Pelodiscus sinensis: one gene and its partner. The protein of the gene in region 1 binds, or shares a complex with, the protein of each later gene. Links are inferred from orthologs where the notes say so. Each region holds a gene or a part of one and is shown in the gene's direction. Other genes may lie near its edges. The genes, in order: CACNA2D1 and CACNA1E.

Region 1 (7,887 bases):
CCATTAATTTCAGTGGACTTTGTTTTAGGGCATAGGAGCACAAGGCTAGACACAGTCCTGCTCCTTGCACAGAGGCTTAATGGAAAAAGAAGAAATGTGCTAGTGCTTCATCCCTGATAACTTACTTTTGCTCTACAAGTGTAGCCTGTAGACATCTGTATATTTTCCTGCATGTGTTTAGACAACCCAGCAAACAGCTGCCAGACTGATTCAAGAATAAGCTACAGAGCTTCTCCAGTTTACACCAGCTGAGTCTGTGACACTGTCTCTTGACACAGGGTACTCTCTCAAAGCCTGCAGCATGAGAGAGCCCATTGCTACCTTGTGGAAGAGCCAGGGATGGCACACTCCTCCAGAGTGGGGCGTACAATCTTTTTGCAGTCTGGCTTTGGATAGATAAAATAGACAGAATAAGGCATATTGTCAGAAATATATAGAGAACCTGATTCTCCTCTTGATTCCAATGGTGTAAATCAGAAATAGCTAATTCCCCTCCCGCATATGCATTGTAGCGAATATATTGATAATTCACTGTTCAGAGTTCCCTAATATTCACTATCCTTCTTCTTGCCTCCTGACTGGCAGATTCAGAAACATGTAAGGATTTGCATGCTTCACTTGGTTTTGAAACAAAACCATGACTCTACTTCAGGTTTTGCCTGCACTGGGATCATCTCCAATAAGGGTTGTACACGTTGCAAGAATTTCAGGCTCAATCCGGGTGAAAACTTAGGCTCTGATCCTTACTGTGAGTAGACCCCTGCATCCCACACCACACTGACTTCACTGAAGGTATGAATGGGTGGAGTGATCTACCTACATGGAGCTTGTTGCAGTTTTGGGGCTCAAGTTTGTAATGAAACCCCAAGCCCACCGAGCTGTCCGTGTTCTGTGAATGCTGTACACAGTTCTAGCTAGATCTAACCTTGCAATATATTTCATCATGGAGTACATGTTTAGAATCAGTTTTGAATAGAAACATGGCCAAAGGTGGTTGGCCAGATTTACCCAGCCTTGAAGCCAGATTGTGATCCAGAGCACTAGCCCCATGCATTGTACTCCTGCATGGACTTTCCAGGCTTGGGCCTGGAAACATAGGAGTAAGATGGTACTGCATACATGTTTACACTCCCTGGAGCAGAAGAGTGGGAAATAGGCATAGCCTTGTGTCTTCTGATCAACACAGCTGAGCTCACTTCTGTAGTTCCGTTTTTCCAGAGTTGCTCCCAGCTGCAGATACTTCCTGGTTTTCTCTAATATGGAGGAGCATGACAAAACAAAGAGTTAATGTCTGGGAACAAGAGTAGCACCCCAGAGCTGTCACAGATGCATTGCTTTTCCATATGGACTTCTGCATCTCTTGCGGAGGGGGGCATACAATCTGGGAACAGTAATACCTCCTGATCCAGGAATGGCATCCCCCTCTCTTCCCTTTTGAAATAGAAAGGTAAATACTAAATCCCTTTATGCCTCCGCTCCAGCCCAATGGCATCTGTTCATCTCCTGACTGTGCAGGGAGTCCAAGAACTTCACCCAAATATTTTTGCTCTGATCCTCTCCCCACACTACCTGATGTCAATAGACATCATGCTCCTCTTTCCTTCACTTCTCCTTTTGATTCACTCTTGCTAACCTTTTCTATCCCTGCCATTCCCATCTCTACCCCATTTCTACCTGGGCAAGCCATTAAAAAACAAACAAACCCCTTAACAGTAAAAGGAAAGAAATGGGTATTTGGTGATATATGTGTATATCCAGGGAGCTAATAGGGCATATTCTGGTCATCACTCTGATAGCTTGCAGTGAGCTTCATGCTCACCTGTTCGCCGGTATGGAATTCATTGCAGTAGGGAGCCTCAGCTTGTAATCTCTTTATAGCGAGTTACTTGCAATGTGTTTGTACAGGGCCTAGAATAATGGTCTGGATACTGATTAATGCCTTTGGGGTATTTCTGTATTAGAGCAATAACATTTTTATTTGTATTTTCTCCAGGTTTTTTTCTACTGTTATTATGTATTTATATTACAGTGGCACCTTAAGTCTTTAGTCATAGACTAGTGTTGGATCCTGTACAAACACAGAACCAACTATATTATTATATGGGGACCTGATCTTGGAAGCTATTTGTATTCCTGTTACTCTAATTAATATTTTTACAGATATTGCCCTAATGAGCTGCACCAATGACAAATGCAGCATTAGAAAGCTTAAGAATATGATAATGTAAAAAAAATTAATCTTATGCCACTTTATGCTTCTGGCTTTACTGTTTACCCGAGCATTCCTCCTTTTGCCTTATTATTTGTCTCTCTCATGTCAGCACTGCTATAACCCCAAATGTTCAAAGATCATGAGTCAGGCACCCAAAATCAGGAGATTGGCTTGATAAAATAATTATGATGGTTTCCCGCCTTCTTTTTTTAGTCTCTGAGCCTGCTGTAGGTCATGGTTTTTAAGCTTTTCTCTGCAATGATTAGGGCTAAACATGTCCTTTTTAAAAAGTGGAAGTTGAGATGTTCACATAGTCATATGACTCCAGGAGTTGAGTTCTTGAGGAAAAACACCAAATGCCATAAAACAACAAAACAGACGCTGGCTGAGTTTTACTTCAGTGCTGAAACAGTCTTTGTGACTGAGGAGTTATGACCACCCTGTTCTCCCCACATTGCTAAGCAGAATGGAGTTCTATGCAGAGAGAAGAGAAGTCTCAGGGGTGGGGATGTTTGAGTGTAGTAAATCCATTGAGTTAATAGTGACACTGTTCAATAGAATCAGGGAGTAGGTGGAAGGCAGAAGCTGCATTAGATTAGAATAATTAATATGAGACTGGACATAACTTTCAGGTATCCTAATGATGCAGGTCACACACAGAAGACAAATTGCACTACAAATGCATTGTAAGGCAGAGAGTCTCAAAAGTGTGGTCTGACTGTGGAGTATTTGCTGTCAGTCATGCAGAGAGCTAGCAGCTCAGGGGTACAAGATTGGTCTGGTCCTTAAGGCACAAGGCTGTGATTTGGAGCACCTGTGTTTAATTCCCTGTTCTGAGACAGACTTCCTGAGTGACCCTAGGTGAGCTGCTTAGTCTCCTTGCCTCAGTTTCCCAACTATAAAATATAGATAACAACACTGCCTAAATTCACAACGGTCTAGTGGGCCAAATAAAGATTCTGAGGCATTTCGATATTAGAGTAACGTGAGCCATTTATCTAATTACTGAAGATAGATGTTGCTGGTTCCACCTCCCCTAGCTGATGTATTAGATTGATTTTTTTAAGGTTGGAGTAACTCAAAATAGTTGCCATTGTTTCTCTACCTACTCTATTAAATATCCATGAAATAAATCCCCCCCCTTCCTTTACCCTGTAAAACAGTTGCCGTTTCCATGGGGATATTACTGATGATGAATTGGGTCATGGGGGCTGTGGGAGGGGCTGATCTGCATGATTGTGAATGGAAGTGATGTTGGCTCCTACAAGGGCATAGACAACTTTTTGATGGGGAGGAGGGGAATAGAGGAAACAATAACTTGCTTTAATGTGTAATATTTTATTATGATTAAACTGCTCCACTTGTAATACAGCAAAATAAACAAGCTTCTGTTCCAAATTGTGTTTTCATGTTTTAATAAAACCCTTAATTTTTAGTAGGGATGAAGCCCCTCCCTAGCTCTCAGTTGTTTGTACCCTTGGCCCTGAGATGATCTCTTTCTTAAAAATGTGGTGAGGCCAGGTGCAAGGGCTAAGATCTTCTACTGGATCAACTTCTGTGGGCTGAGAGCAAGGTGCTTTCGAGCTCCCAATAAGCTTTTCGTCGGGTCTTGGTTTCTCTTTAGCAGGCAGGCTCCTCTCGTTCGCCGACAGAAGTTGGTCCCAAAACACGATTTCACCTCCCCCACCTTGTGTGTCTGCTGTTCTGGGACCCACCGGTTTCCAACAAGACTGCAGACGCGGTGACCGCCCTGACAAAATCTGGTCCGCCTGTCCCAGGAAGGAAACAGGCGCAAGGGGCCAGGTGTTGCTGCTTAGCACCCAAAATGGGAAAGAGGTTTACAAAAGAGCTGGGGAATTCCGAGCACTCGCAACAAACAAACAAACAAACCCCTCAGGCCAGTATCTAGGGGGAGGCGAACGGGAAGCTGCTGAGCGCTGGACGATTTGCCCGGGACTAGGTCTTCCCTTGCCTGGCTCTCTGAAAGCAGGCTGCGGGGGAGGGTTGCCCGGGGGAAATCGGGAGATGCAGAATCCCAGCCTCACATGGCCAGGGTGCCGCTAGCGAGAAGCCAGGCGCGGCTTTGGGGGCAGCCGGAGTCTCCCTGCGCTCCACGCTGGCTGCCCCGGCCCAACCCCAGGGTCTATGCGCACCACCCCTCGCACAGTGCGCCGCGGAGCGCAGCCGAGCCGGTTCGCAGCCGGCCTGCAGCGGCTTTCTGGCATGTGCCCGCTCCGCGCCGGCTGGGGCGAGGCACCACCCCCTGCCTCCCCCTCCTCGCGCGGGAGATCAGAGGCTGACTCCGGGAGTCCCTCCTCTGCCTTGTATGGCAAGCGGCTCCCTATAGGGCTCGGCGAGTCTCCTCTGCCACCCGCCCCCGCGGTGACTTTCCCCAGCTCCCTTCCTGCGGCTCGTGGCAGGGAAGCCGAGGAGAAATCGCCCAGCCTCTGCCTGCTTTCGCACCCCCTCCACCAGCCCCCGCCTCCGCCGCCTCCTCCCTCCTCCGCAATCGGGAATAAATCAGGCACGGACAGCCCCACGCAGGCACAGAGCGAGCGGAGAGCTGGTCCCAAAGTAGCCCTGATGGCGGCGGATCGCAGGGAGCCGGAGCCGCTGCTGGAGTAGCGGAGAGTCAGAGCCTCTCCCTCTCGGCTGGATCTCCCGCCCCCCGGCTCTCTCCATCGCTCGCCTCCCCACCCCTAGCTCCCCTCCCAGCTGCTGCGCCCAGCGCTGGGCGGCTCCTGGGAGAGGGGGAGGGGGCTTTAAAAAGCAAAACAAGCCCCAGTCATTTAATTATTTGTTCCGGCTCCGTGACTGGGGGGAATCGATCTTCGATCAGGAAGATGGCTGCTGGCTGGCGGCTGCTCCTGAGTCTGACACTTTGCCACTCCCTGGTGCTGAACCTGGCCTCGGAAGGACCCTTCCCTTCTGCCTCTATGTGAGTCCCAGCCGAGTTTGGCTCCGGCGTGGTTTGTTTTGAAACGCGGTGGTGGGGAAGGGGGAGGGTGTTTCCCTGAGAAAGTGTGTGTGTGTGTGTGTGTGTGTGTGTGTTTGGGAGAGGGTGGGATTGTAACGTGCGAGGGGAACTCTCCTTCCCTGGGATTGGGGGAGCCCTGTTCATAAAGTGGTAACTGGGGCACATGGCAGGATTTTGGCTGCTTTTGCTTTAAAGATCCAGGATCTCCGATCGATGGTCAATGAGGAGGGAAACAGCAAGCCCCAGCACAGCCAAGTACTAGACTTTTGAGTTCAGGGATTTGCATGAGAACAACACTCCCGACCGGGTCCCAGTCTCTAAATATACCCCCAGCAGATGAGCTGTGCTAAGAAGAAAGTTTCTAGTTGCACACATTCTCCCTCCCCGCTCCCACGGGCTTCAAAGGCTATTTCAGTTTGACTGGAATCTCAATACTTTCTATTTTTAAGTAATACAGCAGCAATTTATTTTTTCTTCTTTTTAAGAATTTTAAAATGCACAAAATACATATCCTTGCTTTCCCCATGCATGTTTGCATGATAGTGTTATTTTAATTTTTGGCTGGGGATTTTAAATGTATGTATGTCATTCTTACCTTGATCTCCTCCAGTTCACAACATGAATATTTTGACAGCTCCAGGGTTTGTTTTGTGTGTATGATTTTGTGGGTGCAGAATCATGTGCAAAAACAGACTTTTTTCATGTTGAAAGCAACGTAAGTAAAGTAGGTGTATTTTCATGCAGACTCTCTCAAACATTAGCTTTCATAATAATTACTTCAGGGGATTCACCTTTGCACCTTTTAAAAGGAATACTTAGTAATAGCTGTTTTATGTTGCTACTTTGCATGGATGTAATCCAAAATGTTCAAAGCGTTGTATAGTTATTAACATGAAAATGTTTCCCAGAGCAAAGGAAGGATCACATATTGAAAACCATGTGAAACAAAAAAGGAAAGGGGAAATAGACCAATATATTTTTGGTTTCAACCAGACATTTATAGGATAAGAAACAATGTGTGCTAATGACCACACTTCCTTTGTAGAAGCGCTTACTTTTAGTTCTATGGTTACCTGTCATCAGGTAACTTTATGTGGATGGTTCACTTGAATGCATTTTCTACAGGAAAACAAAAGTAAGGGTAGTAGTCTATGTTTGATGCTGGGCAGAATTTACTGTTCTTGCTCATCCTGTACAGGCGATTCCAGTGATTACCAGGAGTGCTTTTTCACCAATAAGTGCTGCTGGGGTGTTACAATTGGTTTCAGTTCTTAATATTGGTTCCATTTATATATTGAAGCAAAACTAAAATGATGCGCACACTGGTACAAGAAGGAAAGGGATTAAAAACATAACTGCATAGCCACTTAATATATTTTATATTGCATAAATGAAGCCTTGCCTTTTCTGATGCTTGACTCATGATTCAGTTTCTTGGACTGAAAGAATGCCTTACAAAGTTGTGCTGGGTAAAGCAAGGAGAGGAGTAAAAATAAATGCTAGGATACTCATCTTTTAAAATACTTGCTACTCTTAGTCTTCTGTTTTAGGATGTTGAAATCTACCTCCTTAGTGAATTGATAAATCATGTTATTCACAATTGATCTTCTCATAAAATTACTCTAATTCATAAAAGAGACAGAAATATTGAAATCAACATGGTGTGAAGCAAATACTATAATTTCCAGATGAAATTACAGACCACTTTTTACTGTGAGATACTTTGGTTTTCAGTCTTAGTAGTCCACTCAGTCCATATTTGCTTCTTACCTTTGCAGTCACTATTACTATATTCATCATAAAAGCAAACATCAGCAAAATAAGGTATTGGTTAATCAAAGAACTTGTTTCTAATAAGGAATGCAGAATAAGAAATATTTTTTTCCTCTTGGTTAACAGCTTTTAAATGTTCTCCACTGTCTACTTATGGTATGTGGGTTGCTTTTAAAAAAAAAAATTAAGCCATTGCAACATTGTAGAAACAATCCAGTGTCTGCCTATCCTTCATAATATATTTCATCCCTTAAATGAAATCAAAGAGCACATAAGTCTCAGTTCATTTAGGAGACAGTTCAGCAGGCTGGTAGGAAGACTTGTTTTGCAAAAGAGTAATGATGTAACAGGTGAAGATGAAAACAATGCTAGGATGCTGTTTTTAATGCTTGTGTGATGATGATTTTCTCAACAGTGAATAGTGTAAAGGGGAAGAAGTGAAAATGACACAAGTGAGAATATCTGTGAGTGTAAATAATTTAAGATGTAAATAGTACAGGTAACAAATAGGAAAAAAAGAAAAGGACTGAAGGGTGGAAAGGAAAGAAAGGAGTACTAGTAGCTGACACATTAAAGGCTGTTTAATGCCTGATTTGTTATACTTATCTACAAGTATTTTCCCAATATTTTTTTTACATGAACCCCTTTTTATCATTGATTTTGAAAAGCTGATATAAAGTGGCATTTAAGTATTGCTGGGGGGGGTATTGTAAAAACAAAAAACTCTAGCATAGTTTATGATTTCATCAATAGCTGTTTGTCACCCTCATGGCCCTGTGAATTTTTTGTGTCAGTAATTTCATTCTTTTGAGATGTATCTTAAATGCAGAACTCAAGAAATTCATGTAATCAATACAGTGATATAAAATATTACCTCTTTTGTGGTAAAGAAAACCCAGAAGATTTCACCAGTGTCTCTGATAGA
Region 2 (8,115 bases), on another chromosome or scaffold:
TGGCCAGCAGCTGCGGCTGTTCAGCTGCCGAGCAAAGAATAGGGTAAAAGTACCTGACAGGCCAGCTTTCACGGGGGAGACCAGAATTCACAGTCTGTGGTGCATTTTCCATGGCCACCAATTTGGTAGGAGCCTGATATGGCTGTTAGGAGTGTGGACAAAGCCCTGACTGACCGACACAGCTAGTGTAGACGCTGCTTACGCCAGCAAACGTCCTTTGGCTGAGGTAGCCCATTCCCTTCACTGGTTAGGGCAGTTCTGGCAAAGGAACGCTTGTAGGTAAGAAGCTGCTTCTACATGAGGCAGGTTTGCTGGCATAACTCTGCCAGGATTTCCGTACCGGAAAGTCCTTTGAAGTAGAGACAAAGCCTTACTTTGCGGACTGAGCTGGTATAAGTCAGAACAGCAAAAGCAGGTCCTGCCGGCTTGAGTTGCATTTACACTTGCAGAGCTTCACAGGTAAAGTTACAGGGGTGGGGCCGAGGGCAGCCACCCCTCAGTGCTGCCCGGAGTGCGCCACGCTGCCCCCCACAGCCCTTAGAGCCACTTGGAGCGTGGCGCTTTGGTGGCAATTGAACGGACCCAGGGTTCTGGGCAGCAGTGGTAGCTAGGAACCCTGAGCTCTTTAGAATCACCAGGCCCCGGACACTTGCCCCTTTTACTCCCTTCTCCGTGGTTGGCAGGCCTGCCTCTACCAGTATAGTTAAAGTGGCACAAATTTGTAGACAGAGCCCTTAGGCCGAAGTCCTCTCTTCTGCTACTGTCTGCAAAGCCTCACCGATCCCGAACACCGGTTGTGAGAGAGGCCCTTTATGAACCGAAACCAAGCAGCGTTTGCCCAGGCTCAGCAAGAAACAGCCACGTGACTTAAAATCCTATACCTCCTCCGCTGACAGTGACACCTGCCTGTGCCCTGGCGTCGTAACCGCAGAGACGGCTCTCTTGCTACGCGGCCAGTTGCTGAGTTTGTTGAGACTAAACCTTGAATTCCTGGGCAGCCGTGTGCTAGGCAGGGGAAGGCTTTGCCTTCCCAAACTGCAAGCCTAGCCCCGCCCACGCTCCGCCCCCAGAACGCCTACGATAGGCATACTGAGGCGGGCTGTTGCTGCCTCCAGGGCCTGCCCTCCTGCTCTCCTGGCCTGGGAGGCTGGAGCCATGCACCTGCCCGCCCTTCTCGTGCTCCCCTGTGTTGGGGGCGGGGCCTCAGAAGAAGGGGCGGGGCCTCAGCAGAAGGGGCGGGGCTGGGCTACCTTCACCCACTGCTCATGTTTGAATTTCAAGGAGCTCTAGGTTTTGTTCGCCCGCTGCTCCCTGACTATTGTGGAACAAAAGCGACAGGAGGGAAGGCTAATTAACAGCTAAACAGATTAAGACGGTAAGAGACATAGTGAAGCAATGAGAATGAATCACTCATCTGAGTGGCCACTTGACTCTGCTCTGTGAGGCCCTGTAATTAATTTACTCTTATCACGCTAACCTTTTGTGCTCTGCTTCCGAGCGCTGCTTTGCATTATGAAGCGGGTGCCCCCATTTTTCTCACATCTCTTTGGCCAGTGACTAATGTTGTGCAGCTCATCGAGTGCACACTGTTCAGAGCGGGAGGACAGGTGAAAATGAAGTAGCCTGGCGTTAAGGTGGAGGGGTGGGAGAGAGTGGGCAAGAGCAGGTGAAATGGGGGACGTAGGGAGGCGGTGGTCAGACGCGTAAACCAGAAAGAGAGCTGGTAGGGGAGGAGGTGTGGGTGTGACATTTGAGGGAGGGGGATCTGGGTGTGACGTCTGAGGGAGGGGAGTGTGGGTGTGACATTTGAGGGAGGGGGATGTGGGTGTGACGTCTGAGGGATGTGGGTGTGACGTCTGAGGCAGGGGTGTGTGGGTGTGACGTCTGAGGCAGGGGTGTGTGGGTGTGACGTCTAAGGGAGGGGGATGTGGGTGTGACGTCTGAGGCAGGGGCATGTGGGTGTGACGTCTGAGGGAGGGGGATGCGAGTGTGACGTCTGAGGGAGGGGGATGCGGGTGTGACATCTGAGGCAGGGGAGTGTGGGTGTGACATTTGAGGCAAGGGAGTGTGGGTGTGACGTCTGAGGGAGGGGGGTGTGAGTGTGACGTCTGAGGGAGGGGGATGTGGGTGTGACGTCTGAGGCGGGGTGTGTGGGTGTATCGTCTGAGGGAGGGATGTGTGGGTGTGACGTCTGAGGCAGGGGAGTGTGGGTGTGACGTCTGAGGCAGGGGAGTGTGGGTGTGACGTCTGAGGCGGGGTGTGTGGGTGTATCGTCTGAGGGAGGGGTGTGTGGGTGTGACGTCTGAGGCAGGGGAGTGTGGGTGTGACGTCTGAGGCGGGGTGTGTGGGTGTGATGTCTGAGGGAGGTGGGCCTCTTCTTCTCTGCTTGACTCCCCTGGAAGTAACTGCCCCTTCTCCTGTCTGTGATGGTTTCACTGATTGGCTGGCATCCGACTTCAAGAATGCAAAGTGGTTGAATATTTGCTCTGAGGGAAGATGGATGTAACCTCTTCCCCCCACCCCTGATCATCTTAAAGGGCTACGTCTAGACTGCCCCCTCTATGCAAGAAAATATGCAAATGAGGTGAAGCGGTGAACATCGCTGCATCTTATTGGCATCCTTAGTGAGCCGCCATTTTTGCGTGAGGGGCTTTTGCGCAAAACCCCCCTCTTGCGCAAGAGCTGTTCTGCCGCTTTTTTTCAGGAAGAACGGCTCCTACATAAGAGGGGGGTTTTGCGTATAAAGGAGCCGTGTAGACAGCTCCTTTTTGCACAAAAGCCCCTTGCGCAAAAATGGTGGCTCATTAAGTATGCAAATGAGGTGCGGCAATATTCACCGCTTTGCCTCATTTGCAGATTTTCTTGTGCAAGAGGGGGCAGTCTAGATGTAGCTTCAGTATGAGGAAGATTGCACCTTGCAGTGTGGCCTTTGGATGAGGCTGGTTGCGGTCAGTCTGTGATGGACTTCATCAGCTTGCCCCCAGTCAAACCAACGGGACGTGACGGATGTGTGGAAAGAAATAAACTGGGGTCGCATGTGCCCCCCAGCTGGGGGAGGGGGCACAAGTGGCCCAATTTTGCAAACTTAGGAGCCATGGCCAGGAGCAGCACGCACTGCGCAAAAGAGAGAGAACTGATCCAGACAGGATTGGTTTAGGTTGGCCTCAGCACGACTTCAGCAGCATGTTTTGTGCTTTGGTGGTAGGGGACACGTTACCCTCCCACCTCCGTGGTGTTGCCCCGTTGTCATGTGGCTAAGGCAGTCCTGCACCTTTACATCCATATCCCGCAGGGCTGTGATGAGGGCTATTCAGAGAATCAGTGTGCAGTGCATGGATCACTTAAAAGCGCTACTCAAGGGCTGCGCAGGATCATGATGATAATACATGGGCAGAAAAACCTCGCAGCACAAGGCGGAAAAACCTGTGACACGCACCTCCTCTTTCTGACCAGCAATAATGCGTGCAGGATGTCTGCATGTATTACTATGCCTTCTCCCTTTGTTTAATTAGGGTTCTTAAAGTGTGAACAAAAGTTCTGCATATTATAATCTCCTCCCAGCTTTGTAAGTTTCTGGCTGTGTCTTGTATTCAATCAATGCAGTGGGCCAAGTTTTTCTGGGAGTGTTGATTGGCACCACTTTTCTGAAGCCAACGGAGCTGCGCCAATATACACAGCGGAGTGTTTGGCCTTGTATCTCTCGTCAACTGGATGTGAGTCATCCGGTTGTATGTGGCTACTCTCCAAGCCAGCCTGACTTCTGATGGGCTTTCAGTGACGGTGACAAGTGGGATCCAAAAGAATTCCTGGTAATTTCTCTCCCTTAACTTGTTCTCCGAGATCAACGTGTGGAGCGATTTCCAAACAGCCTTCTGCCCCCGTAAAAGATGTCTGGCACGCACGCTCATCTGGTGTCTCTTTTCTCCGGGATCTGGGCATCCATTCTGCATGTACTTGAAGCAAGACCATAATGTTTTTTTTTCTCTTATGAGCAAGAATAAGTTGATTAGTTTCTTAGACTCACAGAATCCTAGAATTGGAAGGGACCTTAAGAGGCCACCGAGTCCAGTCCCTCACGGCAGGACCAGCCATTTTGATGACTGTGTAATGCCCCACAAAACGGAGTTGATTGAGGGTTTTCTCCAGTTCTGTCCAATGGTGTAGCCAAACTTTCTTTTCACTCCTGGCATCTTGCTCCTGACTTGAACGTTCACTGTTCACCCGAATCTGGTCCCTCAACCTCACTTTCCTCTGTGCAGCGTAGGGATGTAAATGACCATTAAAACAGTTAACCAGTTAAACAATTAAAATGATATCGGTTAATTGTGGGTGGGCTGGTGCAGAGCAGCTGGGGATGGGGGTCCCGCCAGCCCCATGGTCCCACTGCCTCTGTGGGGCAGGGGTCCTGCCTGCCAGGCACAGTGGAGGCTGCTCCAGTTCTGCCCGCCGCAGCTGGGGTCCCGGCAACCAGCTTGCCATGGGCAGGCAGCTGCTCCAGGCTGGCCCTAGTGGCTGACTGGTCCAACTGGGTGGGGGTTGCTCCAGGCTGGGCCCCTGCAGGTGGGGTCTTGCCATCCAGGCCACCATGGCTGGCCGACCACTGGGGTTTGGACAGATCCAAATGAACCTAATGCTTACCAGACAACCGGTTAACCTTTTACATCCCTACTTTCCAGGTCTTTCATCTCCTGATGTCTGAATGTCAAGTCACAGAAGGTGAGCATTCAAAATCTCAACCAAGCTGGCTTCCCCACCTCTTGTTTTTATTGGCTGAGAGTCTGAGCAAGGAACCGCTGGCAGGGTTAACCACCCTGGAGCAGAGCCAGGAGAAAGTAACATTTGGCTGCTTGGCATTTATAGTCAACCTCGCCCAATGCTCTTGACTCATATTCCTTCCCCCGATCACTGCAGAGGCAGGAGCAGTAAACGGCAGCATCTTCTATTTGTAATCCCTGTTATCTTCCAGGCACCGTACTACCACAGGCTGAGGAGGTACCATATGTCTGAGAGCAGTCCTCCTAAAAAAATTTGTCCGATGGCTCTCAGTTTTATTGAGGCATTCCCCTGACGCACAGCTTTGGCCCTGAGCTTTCCTGACACAAGTGCCACATAAATACCCTGTTAACATCAATAACCGTGTCCAGCCAAACCATTCAAATTAGCTTTGTCAAAGCCCATATGACCTTTATTACCAGGGGTTATTCCCCAGAAATTCTACTGCCAGGGAATCCTGCTCCCTTGTAATGGGACTACACTTTTACGCAGACTGTGATTTCAACTGTGGCAAGTGAGTATAAATCCCGACAATGTCACACTAACCCATAACAAGGATTGTTGACGGGAAAAGGTGCCTCCCCCCAAAGGCAAACTAAAGTCCAGACAAGAAGAGCTACTGATCTAACTCCAGGAATGTGTTAAGCGCCTGCCTGGGTTTTAAAACCCACCGTCACTAAACCCAAATGGGTGTGTGGGAAATGAGGCCTATTGAAGGATACAAAAAGAGGAGGACGGACTCTTCTGCCCACCACTCCCTTTTGGGGGCTTGACAAGGAAAGCGACTTTTGAAGAAAAGCCGACGATTGTGCTGCTGGCTGGGTGAAAGAGAAGGGGAAGGCGTGAGCTTCGCTGTCATGGCTGCCACCCCACCCTGTTCTGCCTCAAGCTCCTTCAGCCTGCTCGTAATCAATGCCCCGACCTGAGCGGGCCAGACAGTAGGAGCCAGGAACCAAACCACCTTCCCCAGCTCCAGCTAAATCCCAAACCTCATCTGGGATTTGAGACTTTGTCTGATCCCCCCTCCCGTGTATCTTTTTCCGTCCCTACTTTATTTCTTTCCTGTCTCTCCTTCTTCCTTCTCTCTAAGGGTAGGACTGCCCTAGGCAGCTTTTAGCAACGGGGCTGTGTTGACATAGTCCTGTCGCTAACTGTCAGCACAGATGAGTACTGTTTAATTCCACCCTAATGTGCGGGTTTTGCTTTATCAGGAGAGTGCCCCTGTTCTTCGTGGGGGGGTTTCAAGCACCTCTGAATGCCAAACATTTTGTCAGGCCAGTATAAGTGAAGACATAGCCTTAGAGTCTGGCTGAGCCGGCCAAGACTGCATATTTTGCAACACTGCTGTGCGCCTGTGATTAGAGAAGCAGGTAATGAAATGAAATCAAACAGCTGATGCTGGGCTGAGTTTGCCAGGTCTCAGAGTGGCTGATCAGACCATATGCTGGGTCTGTGTTTTCTCATCAGTGGGGTTGCAAGCGAAAGTCAATGCCAGACACAGAAGCTGCATTTTCTGTTGCCGCGGTTGTTTCCTTTCCCTTTGTGGGTGTGTTGTTTTCTAGGAAACGGGGTCAGACTTGGACAGCAGCAATGACAGCCCCAGCCCATATTAACTATTTTTTTTCTCTTTTCCCCCAAAAGGACGTTATGTCCTACATGAGCAAACCGGCACCAGGCTCCATGGACACTGGGAACGCTCCCGGTTCTAGGTCTTCCTCCAGCAGACCTGCTGGGCTACCTCAGGGTTACTCTTCTCAAGTGTCTGAGCAAGACGCCTTGAATTCAGGCAACCACGTGGCTCATCTGTGTCCACAAGCATGTGAGACTGCAGGGCTGGAAGTACAATGTCCCGGTTTATCAAGGTCATCGGTCTGCTCCAGCACAGATCCAGCAGCAGACTTTGATGCGTCTTGTTGCCTTTGATGCCCTGGAGTCTGAAAGTGACGAGCCGCCAGAGATCTTAGTTGCTAACAATCCAGAGTTGGGCACGCCGGTCGCTTTTCCTTTGCTGCCTCTTTGCTGGGATCTGGATGCTAGATTCATATTGCGGAAACATTTTGCTGTAGCCCTTGTCCAGCGTGTCAAGGTGTTCACGAAGGACGGCTGTTCCCAGCTGTCTGCCTCGTGTCTCTGGCCGTCCGCATGCATCCTGGGGTCTGTGTTGGACTTTTTAACAGGTGCTATTGGGAATGCCAAGGGGAAGTGGATTGCTCAATAAGCCATCCTCCAGCCAGGGACAAGCCTGGTCCGTGACCAACAGGGGAAGTCTCATCAGGGCGCTCCCGAAGGTACAGAAAATGCGATGCAGCACTCAGTGGCGTCTGTATCGGCGCAGCTGTTCTAATGTAGTTTCAGCCCCTTTCTCCGAGGCATCTGTCCAGAGCGCCTCTAAATTGCTTCGTGGACGGGGCTGCCTTTCATCTCTTGGCCACAGCCCCCGTTGCAGGGCATGAAGTGGCATCTCTGCGAACATTGTCTCTTGCTCATTATTTACCAGGGGTGTTTGCATCTCAACCCCATGGATTGCTCTCACCCAGAACTTCCCATTCCAGGGCTCCTTGAATCAGAGTTGTGCTAAGGGCCAGGCTTGACTGTGTATTTGTAACTGCGACTTCTCCTTGAGCTTCCCCCTCTTTCTACAGGCCTGTGGCGGATGGGCGCATGACGTCTGAACCTCACAGCGGCTTTACCCCCGGCCAGGCATGGGATGGGGCTGTTGATTTGGGATACCGAGAAGGATCTTTCTCCATCTGTTATGGTAGTGGGACCTCTAAGCCCACGAGAGTTTCCTCTGGCCCTCCTCCCAGTGGGAACACTTATTCCTAGCGAGATCCATTAGGAATATTGTGCTGGGAATCGTGCCGTCGGCAACCTCCACTTTTCCTGACGCCCCTCCTCCTTTCCTTTGGGTCAAGCTGCTATTTCCAAATGACCTTGACGTTTTCTGTGACTGCTGTGAGGCCACAGGGCCAACCAGGGGAGAGCTAGCCCCCCTCACCTGGGTCAACTGGTGGCGTGTGGGTCGCGTGCCTATCTGCTTCCTCCAGCGATTCAAGCAAGGCACCCAGTGGCATTTCTCTCCTTGGTTGTAGCGTGGTGGCTTGTCGATCGCATGGGATCTATTCCAAACGGGCCCAGGGTGGGGCAGTGGCTGCCCCATGCCGCGGGGAGCAGAGTTACTCTGGATGCAAAGGTTTGGCCTGGTGACCTCAGAGCTGAGGGTTCAGATTCAGGAGCAATTCACCCAACTCCAGCCAGCCTCCCCACTCCGCTACGGCTCCTCATCCCTGCTGCTCACACACACAATCAGTCCAGCCCTGTGCTGCCATTCCTGCTACCTGC

Evidence for each region.
Region 2: the proteins of CACNA2D1 (region 1) and CACNA1E are in contact, whole or in part, in a cryo-EM structure (PDB 8EPM), measured with the Homo sapiens proteins. The link is inferred for Pelodiscus sinensis from reciprocal best matches to the Homo sapiens genes CACNA2D1 and CACNA1E. Residues at the interface, in NP_001353796.1 of Homo sapiens: Thr170, Asp171, Tyr173, Ile233, Leu235, Ser261, Gly262, Ser263, Ser265, Gly266, Leu267, Lys270, Ala327, Lys328, Gly329, Ile330, Thr331, Glu366, Gln391, Asn393, Tyr394, Ile416, Gly417; in NP_001192222.1 of Homo sapiens: Gln110, Leu112, Pro113, Glu114, Asp115, Asp116, Lys117, Pro119, Arg122, Asn630, Phe631, Asn632, Asp633, Gly634, Ile1330, Gly1331, Asn1332, Val1334, His1336, Met1341, Val1343, Arg1346, Arg1393, Ser1394.

What each region holds. Positions count from the first base shown.
Region 1 is NC_134711.1:18,846,615-18,854,501, forward strand, and holds the start of CACNA2D1 (voltage-dependent calcium channel subunit alpha-2/delta-1), read left to right. Parts: upstream 1-4,587; 5' UTR 4,588-5,055; coding exon 5,056-5,150; intron 5,151-7,887. UniProt on the Homo sapiens protein: The alpha-2/delta subunit of voltage-dependent calcium channels regulates calcium current density and activation/inactivation kinetics of the calcium channel. Plays an important role in excitation-contraction coupling.
Region 2 is NC_134719.1:58,580,230-58,588,344, reverse strand, and holds the start of CACNA1E (voltage-dependent R-type calcium channel subunit alpha-1E), read left to right. Parts: upstream 1-4,674; 5' UTR 4,675-4,716; intron 4,717-8,115. UniProt on the Homo sapiens protein: Voltage-sensitive calcium channels (VSCC) mediate the entry of calcium ions into excitable cells.